Ovis aries: one gene and its partner. The protein of the gene in region 2 interacts with the protein of the main gene of each other region in a pairwise test. Links are inferred from orthologs where the notes say so. Each region holds a gene or a part of one and is shown on either strand. Other genes may lie near its edges.

Region 1 (5,991 bases), on a different chromosome or scaffold from region 2:
GTTATAAGATTAAAAAGTAATGTAAAACATTTACATCTTTCAAATTTAAGAACTTAAGATGTCTTCCAAGATACTATGCTTAATTGATGAGCTACCCCTCATAAAAATGATTAACCAGGTTGAACACCTAATTGTAACTTTCGCAATTAATAGTACACCTGTAGTTTATACTTTGTCAAATCTAGATTTGCATACCTTCTTCTACAGGGGTATTCTCAAAGTGAGGGCTGCCAACCAAGATAGCGTGGCACATACTAGAAATGCACATGAACAGGGTCTACCCCAGACTGACTTTATTAGAAAGTGGTGATGGAGAGCCCAGCAATGTTTTAACCAGCCCTCTTGCTGGTCCTAATGTCTGCTCATGTTTAAGAACCACTGTGCAGAGTTTAATAAGGAATCTCTATCCCCTAATTAGGATCGAAACATAGTAACTCGAAAATTATAACCTACCACACTAAATGCTATACCATAAAGCCCTACAGAAATCCCTTTTCCCTTCATAAACCTCAGATTTCCAATGTCTAAGAGAACACATGCAGCTATGCTACATCTTAAAGTTCTGATTTTCACCATAATCAACTATCTAGTAAATCTATTCTGTACAAAATTTTAAGCCTCCCTGGTCCCAATGAGAATGAATGAGTATATATTAAGTATGAGCAAATAATGTTCCCCAAAGACAACTAATTAAATGATCTGAAGACTGAAATACTGTTATTAAGACAGTTAACAGTAATTACTAATATACAAAAACTGCTGTCAACAATGAAACTATTTCTGTACACTATTTAGCCTTCTGGCAAAAAATCACTTGAATTACAGAAAACAGACATTAAGAGGTAAGAAGTCTAAGTCGCTTCAGTCATGTCCGACTCTGTGTGACCCCACAGACGGCAGCCCACCAGGCTCCCCTGTCCCTGGGATTCTCCAGGCAAGAACACTGGAGTGGTTTGCCATGTCCTTCTCCAATGCATGAAAGTGAAAAGTGAAAGTGAAGTCGCTCAGTCGTGTCTGACTCTTCTGCGACCCCATGGACTGCAGCCTACCAGGCTCCTTTGCCCATGGGATTTTCCAGGCAAGAGTACTGGGGTGCCATCGCCTTCTCCGTGAGGATAGAGACTACCTTTTTTCCTGTTTCCCTGGTTCGCAATAACAACATCATTCTGGTGGGGAAAGCAGACCAGTTTTTGGCAGCCCTGGTGGGAAAGGCGGATCTTGCATTTACCTAGGTTGGGGGGCAGGAGGACCCTCTCTGGAGGGAATGCTAAACGGGTATACATGAGCAAGACAGGAGGCTTTGGGTTCACACACCCCGTGACAACAGGGCGGGCTGGGCTGGAGGCCTTGCCCTTGAGTTTCTGAAGCCCCAGGGCTCTTGTTAAGACCCCTTATAAATATAAAACTGAATTTCATTAAGTTTAACTGATTTTATAAGCAGCAGGAGGGGAAAAATCCAGTTCTCTTAACTCCTAGACCAGGGTTCTTTCAACTGTCACACTTCCCACTTGACATCTCACACATCCACCAGTTAATATAAATTAATCTTTAAGATTAGAAAAATTAGCTATTTTGGAGCTTATTCCGTGTTTCTAACAGCAATTCCATCCAAAACAAGGTCACACAACTATGCAAAACCCTCTAGAGACCTAATCAGGAATAATGTGTGTTTATATCCTCTACCAAAGAAAACAGCAGGAGGCATGAGCATGGGAAACACAGAGTCCTCCAGCTTAAGCCATCCTTCTTAAATCCCTCTTCTCCAACCAACATGAAAATGTTACTAATGCCTATCTATTTGAAATCAAATCTACAGTTATTTCAGATATTAATTTTGTGGCCAAATCATTCCAGATGAGTGATATTAAACTGTTACCTTGGTACATGCTGATCCTATGGAACCCATTTCTAACACCTCAAGGCAAGAAAAGTGCACTTCAAATAATTTTATTTCCATCTAAGAATTTAACCATTCTTAAATACTGATTTCCTACATTTCTCTTTATTTGCCAACAATATTAGGCGTATGATTTCCTAAATTAACCAATTACTGCCCTTTTAAAGTCCATGTGACAATCTAAATGCTTAAGCTTTTATTTTTAAGGCAAAGCTTTTAATTCTATTACAAAATCTATATGCTAAGGGATCGATACATAGCTACCTACAGTAACAGTTTTAGCTTCTGTTCCTAAGGGACAAATTTACCCAGTATGGGCTTAAACTATACTTAACATTACTTTTTGTGAATGTTTAACACATTATGAAAAACAAAATCACCTAAATCTTACACAAAGATCAAAAAAAAGCGATTTCTTGGATAAGTGAATGTGATACTTTGAAACTTATGTAATTTTTAAAAACCTGGCAAAAATTGTTTAGTAATTTTCAGGGCTTAGCAAACAGTAACCACCATAATACCTGCTTAACAAAAGGCATATAGTTATGCATTTTTGCCAACTTTGGGATGGTCCGGAAAATTAATGCCAGATATCCCGAAAATCAAACTTCACAAAATCTTAGGACGTCACTTTAATAAACGCAATACTCATAATCTTTTCCCCAAGAGCAGTTTGGGTATTTCCAGTTACCGCTAGTCCTTGCTGTAATTATTTTTAACATCTACGATTTCAACGGGGAGGTAAAGCCACTTGCCTTAACCTGGAGACCAAATTCCTTACTAGTTCGGCTGATTAATATGACCCAGGCAAGCAACACTCATGCCTCGGTTTCTGTCTAAGAAAGATAGTATACCTACCTCAAGCAAGTTCCACTAACTTATATATTTCAAGCGATTTGTAACCTGCAGATAAAAACCCAGCTTTAATTATTACTGTTGATATGTAAATCAGATTACAATTTTTTAAATAAAATTGAAAATATTTCGAGGTTCATCATTTGTTCAGAGAGGCGTAAACTAAAAAGTAATCAGTAAAATATTAAAACTATTGTTTTCATATTTATACCCTGCGGTACGCTCCAGAATTTGGAGGCTTGCGGTACAAAAAATTTCTGCTTGATAAATCTTCCCCATCCCCCACTTAATTTTAAAATTTAACAGGAAGCATCGGCACTACATTAACTTGAACTACATTCATGAGCATCTTTGATCATCCGTTTCACAATCTCAGAGTCCTCATGGTCACCGAAAATTAAAGGACAGCCGTTAACACAAGAAAGCGAAAAAGAAAAACAGCATTTTCCCTGCCGATTGTGGCCTAGAGGACACTGGGTTAAAAATCTACTCAAGGGCTGCGGCCTAGAAAACTCTCCGCGTAAGATCTAATCCCCCAAACCAGAGAATAAATGGGGGCCTGCTTACTCTACCGAGGGGAGGGTTCCCTCGTCCTCTCTCCCACTCCACCTCGCGCTCCCCAAAGAACCCAGCGCTTCCTCTGCTTCCGCTCCCTCCACTTACCAGGAGGGGGAAGGGAGAAGAGATTCGATTCTGAATCTCCTACCCCTGGGTTCTACGTGAAGAAGCCGATGGCTGCTCGAGGTCGGCAACGCGGTCGCAATCGCTCAGTCTTCGCCTCTTCACAAAATGGCCCCCGAGTCTCCTCTGCCGCCGAGGCGAAGGCCTAGGCCCGCCTCTCTTCTGAGAATCCTCCTATTGGCTGCGAGTTTTCTCGCTCCCGCTTCTCATTAGACAGTTCTACCGCTCTTCACAATTCTATCCAATCACAATCAGTAGTGGCTTAGACTAATCTAGAGAATTTCCACATGCGTGGGAGAAACTAGTTTGTAACTGGTCATATTTCCTGTCATTTATCTTCTGAGACATGCTTATTGGCCACTGTACCCTGACGAAGCTCTGGGTGGAAACTTGCCTTTGTAAGGCTCACCGCTTCACATCCGGGTATCCGAGATACCTGATTGGCGGTCTCAGTATCCCATCGCTACTCTTCAGAGCGCCTAGAAGGAGGCCCACCCGGATCTCGGAATTCCCGCGGCGCGGGGGCGGGGGCGGGGGTAGGGGGGCAGATGAAGATTGCCGGGTCTTGTTTGGTAGACTTCTGAAAGGTCTACCCTAGCTCCCGGCCTAGGTAAAAGGAAAAGCTGTAGCCCGCGGGGTGAACAAAAAAATTGTTTTTTCTTTGACTGGGGAGGGAGCACTGAAAGCTAGAATACAAACCAGCCCTGCAGTTTTTCCAACCCTAGAGCTCCTTTCTGGACATTTCTCAGCTTGTCAAGCCCTTCAAACAACCCATAACTCACGCAAAACAACTGACTTAACTCACCTCTCCACTGCAAAAGGTAAATAAAGTCTAAAATACTGGCCTGGGATACTACAGCATTCGTCCTCTGGCCCCAAGTCATCTCACTTTCTTTTTTTTTTTTTTTCCCAAAGTGGTGAGGCTGAGGGAGTGTATTCATTTATTTTTTAATATAAATTTATTTATTTTAATTGGAGGTTAATTACTTTACAATATTGTATTGGTTTTGCCATACATCAACATGAATCCGCCACAGGTATACACGTGTTCCCCATCCTGAACCCCCCTCCCTCATCCCTCCCCGTACCATCCCTCTGGGTCGTCTCAGTGTACCAGCCCCAAGCATCCAGTATCATCATCTCACTTTCTGATATCCTATATGCCAACCAAATTGGTTCAACTGGCTAGCTCTCCCCCGCCCGAACCCACAATCGGGTCCCTTAATTCTCCGCATCCTGAAACGATCCTGTCTCCCACCTACCGGCGTCGTCTGCACTGCAGTCCCTCTGGTTATATTATAGCAGCCGAGCACGCAATGCAATAAGGACCAGCTGTGCTAGGAATAGGAATAAAGGATATTTCTCTGTGTAGTTGGGGAAAGCAAGATTGCAGAACACTTATCTAGAGAATGTGATACTCTATACATTTTAAGGAATATATGCATTTGTGAATACAGTTTTATGCATTAGTTTCGAATTAATTCTTAATTTCAGATTCACAAGGAAACTGTCTACCTGTCAAATGGCAAAAATCAAGACAGTTTAGTAACGAGTGTACTGTCCTTTACTCAAGTGAAAACAATTCATGGTTGGAAGAGTACGGTAACTCACAAGCAGTGGAGCACTCCCCCAGGGAGTCTGGGCAAGAACGAGCTTAATACAGCATTAAAAGCAGCAAGGCAATCGAGTTTGATCGCCTGCGGTTGTGTATCTGACCTTATTTAGAAAGATTAAGGAACAAGGAAATAAGTATACAGCCTAAAAAGTATGGCGTTTGAGAAGATTGACTGACTGGGTGTACTGAGTTTCTGGTCAAGGTGACCTTTTACAGGAACTTGAAGTTTAAGTATGCTAACGTGACACCCCCAGCAGGAGCAACTCCATCTTGGGCCTAGAAATTTATCTGGACATATCTTTGGGGAGCGAACCTTTTACATTTTTCAGTGGTACGCCTTTCTTTACAATTTGAACTTTTTGCCATATGCATATGTTGTTTTAAGCAAATCTAAAAAGCAAAAGCAAAAAGCATGTAATAAAAAATAAACTAAAATGTTAATGGTGGTTCCCCCATGGTGGGAGAACTTGTGCTTTTTCTTTTCCCCCTTAAACTTGCCTGTGCTTTTCTATAGTTTCTGAATTGTTAAGTTTGAACAAGTAATCAGAGAGGAAACATCTCCAAGTGCTTAAAGCCTCAGCTCAGTTGCCACATTGCAATTTATTTAAAATGACCTCATTGCACTGTTGTTAATTTTACATTTGTCTCTTCTTCTCTCATGGATAGTATATCCTTTTGATTACAGAGTTTAATTCTCATTGCTCTCTGTATTCCCTTTGCCTACTACATGTCCTAGGACCTTAAACAGAGAGTGTCTGAAATTTGTGTTAAATTAATCATTAGCTTTTATTTAGCAGGAGAAATTGTTATTTTCCCTGGACAAACAGGTAGACTGTACTTTTTTCTATTAAATATTTTATACAGTTCTTACTCAGAGGAACCCAGATAGTATGAGGCTTGATTGACATGTTATGCGTGTGTTTCTTAAGTAAACAAAAATAAA
Region 2 (5,299 bases):
GTTATCACACTTCGATCAGTTGGGAATGGAACCAAAAGAAAAATATAATTAACCAGGTCATTCAAATTTAATTTCACCGAAGTTTAGTATGAAATTAGGGGAATTAATGCTTGACAAAATAAATGTGTATGAACAGCATATCATCTACGTACCTGGCCTCAATTCAGGTCACATCATGCATTTGTCATCTCCTTTTTCTCTCTCATAATCCTCTGCCACATCATTTATCCAGAGTGTGGCCCACAGAAACAGGTTTTCTGATTCTGCGGTGAACTGAGTAAACTTAGCTGCCCCTCACTTGTCATCTAAATAGTAAACCAATTATCGAGTCCAAATTCAAACAAATGCTGTCTTGTTAAGCCTTACCCGAAAGATATTTGAAACGGCATCCAGAATAACCAGAACAATTTTGGTATCTTTTGCAGTTAGGAGGTTCATCAACGGCTCTATTATGCCGCAGTGAACAAGGTACACGATCTGCTCAACAGTTCCGCCACTTGTATAATTGTTCACAGCCCATGCGGCTTCCTTTTGTGTCTTAAAGTCTGCCTAATTAACATAAAGAAACAGGTTTATTTTAGAATGGTCATAAAAATAAGATTCCAAAACTACTGTTTTAGAAGAAAGTGATTAAGACTTTCAATTGGTTCTATCCAAGCTAAAGTAAAAAGGCTACTATTATTTAGCAAAGGACTGTTAAACAGAACCCAGCATTAGTATGTTAAGAATCTTAAGAAATACAACTCTACCAAGTGCCTGCCCATTTAAGTCCTAAGGCTACAGTACCTTTGAGAGAAGGCCAACAAGGAATGGGACTAATCCATGATTCACAACTTGTTGTATCTGGTCCTGGCGGCCAGCTGTGATGTTTGACATTGTCCATGTAGCTTCCTTCTGAATATTAGTTTTGGAGTTTGTCAGCAGGCTGGGAAACACGGCAAGTGCTCCCGCATCTATTACAACCTGTGTTTGTTCATCTGTCCCAGTGACAATATTTCCTATGGCTCTGAGCGCAGGAGTCTGAAAGGAAAAAAAGTTGACGCTGGCAGTTATCTTTTATCTATTCCAGCACTACTCAAAATCTCTACACCCTAAAAGTTTTGACAGGTAAGAGGCTCATTATGGCCTAAAATATATAATATGTCAATATTAGTACCAACTAATTGTGCTCCTTATACTTTATACTCTCATTTGAAAATCAACTTACCACAATTGGCAATTCAGTAGCTCCTAAAAGCTTCACAAGTTGGGGTACAACCCCAGTTTTCACAACCATTTCAATCCGTTCATTTGGACCATCAGTAAGGTAGGAAATAGCCCAGCAGGTGTCAGCTAATACTTCCGGATCATCGTGATGCAGGAGACGAACTAAAGTAGGAAGAATCTGCTCAATAGCCTCTAAGGGGGGTGCAGGATTCTTGTTGCGGCAAAGATTTGAAAGCGTCCAGGTAAGATTACGTAAGTAACCACACTGGGGGGAAAAGAAACACGCAATGAAGTGGTTTTTTAAGGGGGGTAGGAAAATGAGAATCAGTGAGAAACGTGACTTATGCTAAGTAACTTACTGCTAGAGACGACATATCAGGCACAGCCAGAAGTGCCAAGAGCGGATCAACTGCACCATACTTGATAACCAGGTCTCGGAAAACGGAACCATCACCTTAAAAAAAAAAGAAGGCGGCTGAGTCAACCACTACCACCTGTCTAGTGCCATTAATTTCCGTTACAGAGTACACCAATGTCTTGACGCAACAAACACACTAAGACACGTATGCCAACCTCAGTATGACTGGAGACATTCAGCCAATTTCAAATCCAAGTACCTGCAATGTTTCCCAGAGCCCATACAGCTTGTTCACTGATGTGAGCATGGGGAGATGCCAACAGAGAAATGAATGCTGGGATAGCACCTCCGTCCACCACAGCCTTGGTCTGTTCTGAAGTCCCAGAAGCAATGTTAGTGAGGGCCCAGGCAGATTCGAACTGAATGGGACTACAATCAGTTCTTCCCAAGAAGGACACAAATTTTGGAATCAAACCAGCCCGGATTATGTTGTCAATAGGGGGCTGTTTTTCCCTAGAAAGCAGTTTCCTATGGGTAAGCAAAAAGAGAAACAAAAGTTGAAGGTGATTAACCAAACAGGTTCATACCAGAGGAAAAAAATAAAAACAAAAACACAATTTAAAACGCCAACTCGAGACCAAACAAGTTCATATAAAAAACACAATTTAAAATGCATCTTGCATGAGTACAGCTGTGGTGGATTCATGTCAATGTATGGCAAAACCAATAAAAGTAGAAAAAAATAAATAAATAAAATGCATCTTACACGGGGATGATCCAGAGAGATGATATGGGGTAGGAGGTGGGAGGGGGGTTCAGGATTGGGAACTCATGTACGTCCGTGGCGGATTCATGTCAATGTATGGCAAAACCAATACAGTATTGTAAAGTAAAATTAAGTAAAAATAAAAATTAAAAAAATAAAATAAAATAAAATAAAATGCATCTTAATCCAAGAGTTTAGAACTTTAAGTAACCTTTTACAGTGAAGACTAAATGCTGACATATCCTGGAATTTAAGAGGAGCTGAGCAGACAGACTGTTTGCATGGTGGGGTAGTGTCGTAAACTACTTTTCCCAAAACTGAAATATTACCAATGACGCAGAACCCTTCTCTCTGCAGAAATCTACTCCAGATCTTACCACTTTTTAAAAACTTTGACATACGATACCATCACAGTCCATTAATCCGCATTACTCTGGCCAGTGGTGGGGACACACACGTTTCCCCTGATCTTCTGCCAATTGGACCTGCTTTTCCCCACACTGTGAGGCTACAGAGATCATCAATCCTTATATTATGGATGTCACAGATAGCTGTGTATGGTGGGTGGGAAGAGTCTAATAAATAGAATATATTTATTTCCTAAATGGATGAACCATTCTAAATCAATGTGGTAATCCCAGTTACTGAATAATTCCTCCTTTCCCTGACATTGACTTGAAATGCCAGTGACAAGAAAACATTTCTGAAGTACACTAAAGTTATCACTGGAGGTAGATGTAATTTGAGGCAACTACAGAAAATTTTAGATTAGGAAAGATTATAATGAAAATTGGCCTAGGCCTGGCTTAACCTTTACTCTGCACCACCTGCCATTGCTTTCCCACCAAAAAATGTAAAAAGGCTGATTTCTTAGTTTACTCATGCTACAGAAGACAAGACTTACCTAGCAGCTTGAGTAGCTTGGAGCTGGCTTTCCAAATTGTTGCTATTTATGCCTTTGACAATATCATCAACAGACCAATTTACAGTGCCCTACAAGAACAGGGAAATTAATTTTCAAATTATCATTTTTAAGATTAAATACAATGCAATCCCAACACGAAGACATTTCTGTTTATAATCAGTTACTAAAGTTTAGTCCCACATTTAAATTCGCCTGTTAAATATTCAATATTTAATATATAGAACAATCCTCAAATTAGGTGTCATGACCAAATGATATCTTAAGTGATGGAGTATCCCAGCATCTAGTCACTAAGAAAAGTAGCTGTGAATAGGTTAAAAAAAATGAACTAGAGCACTGCGAAGGTTATTCTTACATTAGTCTCAATCACTTGTATTCAGATATGCTTTTAGGGGAAAAGGGACAGAGTTAGAGGCAATGTGCTGGGAATCTGAAAAGCTAAAGTTGTTATCCATGCATTTCCCCTCCGGTTTATGTGGTATTTATGCACACATAAACATTATAGGTAGTAACTACATATTGGAGTTAACTGCAGCATTTGCGAACCAAGCTACAGTTAACTCAAAAAGACAGTATCACATTCTCCCTAAAACCTTACAACAAGGACAATGTAAAATCTAAACACCACAGAACAAATGATTATATATATAAAACACTGTATATAGCATTATACAGAATTTACTCTTCATTTGTGGTGCAGAATGGGGTGCTGTAGGAATTCTGGGAAGGAAGCATTTTTCCTGTTAGGATGACCTAGAAGTGCTACAAAGAGAAGATGAGATTTGAGTATAAAACTTGAAAAACACAACACAGGTCGAATTCAGGGGGGCGGGGGGGGGGGGGGGGGGGGGAGAACACTGATAAAATGAGGAGAACTGAAGGAAAGCATAATGTGGGGGGAAAAAGCAGGAAACTGCCCAATATTTTTAAAAGATGAAAGATAAATTTAAAAATGTAGGATGGGGTTTCCCTGGTGGCTCAGCTGGTAAAGAATCCAGCTGCAATATGGGCGACCTGGGTTCAATCCCTGGGTTGGGAAGATCCCCGGAGAAGAGCATGACTACCCACTAGAGTATTCTGGCTTCCATGGACTGTATCGTCCATGCGGTCGCAAAGAGTTGGACACAACTGAGCAACTTTCCCTGACTTCTGATAAAATCACGAAGTCTCCATGAGTAGAACTCTAGGATGGGTCTAATTTCCAAAAAACCTTTTAAAAAGGATTTAGAATCATAAAATTTCTAAGATGTTTTAAGCAGTATTTTAAGAAAACTTTTAGGTAAACAGTAAGTGGCACAGAAAGAAAATCAAGAGACAGCTGAGGAAAAAGACCTGAAAAAAGCTGGTGACAACTACAAAAAAAAGAGAGGGAGGGAGGAAGGGAAAGGGAGAGAAAGAAAAAAAAAGGCAGGAAAAAAAAAAAGTTGGTTCTGGACATACTTTCACTGAACACTTGAATGGCCAACTCAAAGTAAAAGCTGGCAACTGGAAAAGCAGGGAAACTTGAAGGGGAGATCAGAGCTAAAGACAACCTTGGAATCAGCTTCCACAGATTACAGAGGATGGGCGGGGGGAAGATAATCCATCAGAATTACTGAACAGGAGCACACAAAGACAGATCTTCACATTTGATAGTTAAAACCCACAAAGCTAAGACATGTTATTTAAATATCTCAGAAAGGCCTCATATTGATTTTCTGGGTTTACCATAACTCATAAACTAAAATATCCTCACCTGGTTGTTGCGGTTTTCCTGCAGTGGAGAAGTAGCATCATCAGGAAAAGAGCTGACATTTCTCCTTTTCAGCATCTGGTCATCCTTCTTAGCTTTCCTTAGCTCCACATTCACTTCTATTCGGCGCCGCCTCATTTCCTTGAGAAAAGATAACGTATCATCTCACCTATTACATCAGTGTTAGGTGCCAAGTGAAGACAACTTTTTAAATTCACTCAAAGTGTGGACGCTCTTTCCAAATACCTTACCATTTAAAAAATACTAGAAAAACAACAGAAGGTACTCACTGTACTGTCTTTCCCCTTGTTC

What was found. The genes of interacting proteins can lie anywhere in the genome.
Region 1: the proteins of KPNA2 (region 2) and HNRNPC interact in binary tests that used the Homo sapiens proteins (3 or more experiments, as listed by UniProt). The link is inferred for Ovis aries from reciprocal best matches to the Homo sapiens genes KPNA2 and HNRNPC.

Annotation. Positions count from the first base shown.
Region 1 is NC_056060.1:24,219,405-24,225,395, reverse strand, and holds the start of HNRNPC (heterogeneous nuclear ribonucleoproteins C1/C2), read right to left. Parts: upstream 3,544-5,991; 5' UTR 3,416-3,543; intron 2,801-3,415; 5' UTR 2,756-2,800; intron 1-2,755. UniProt on the Homo sapiens protein: Binds pre-mRNA and nucleates the assembly of 40S hnRNP particles. Interacts with poly-U tracts in the 3'-UTR or 5'-UTR of mRNA and modulates the stability and the level of translation of bound mRNA molecules. Single HNRNPC tetramers bind 230-240 nucleotides.
Region 2 is NC_056064.1:48,649,432-48,654,730, forward strand, and holds part of KPNA2 (importin subunit alpha-1), read right to left. Parts: coding exon 5,278-5,299; intron 5,129-5,277; coding exon 4,991-5,128; intron 3,324-4,990; coding exon 3,235-3,323; intron 2,093-3,234; coding exon 1,824-2,092; intron 1,661-1,823; coding exon 1,566-1,660; intron 1,472-1,565; coding exon 1,208-1,471; intron 1,021-1,207; coding exon 787-1,020; intron 550-786; coding exon 367-549; intron 1-366.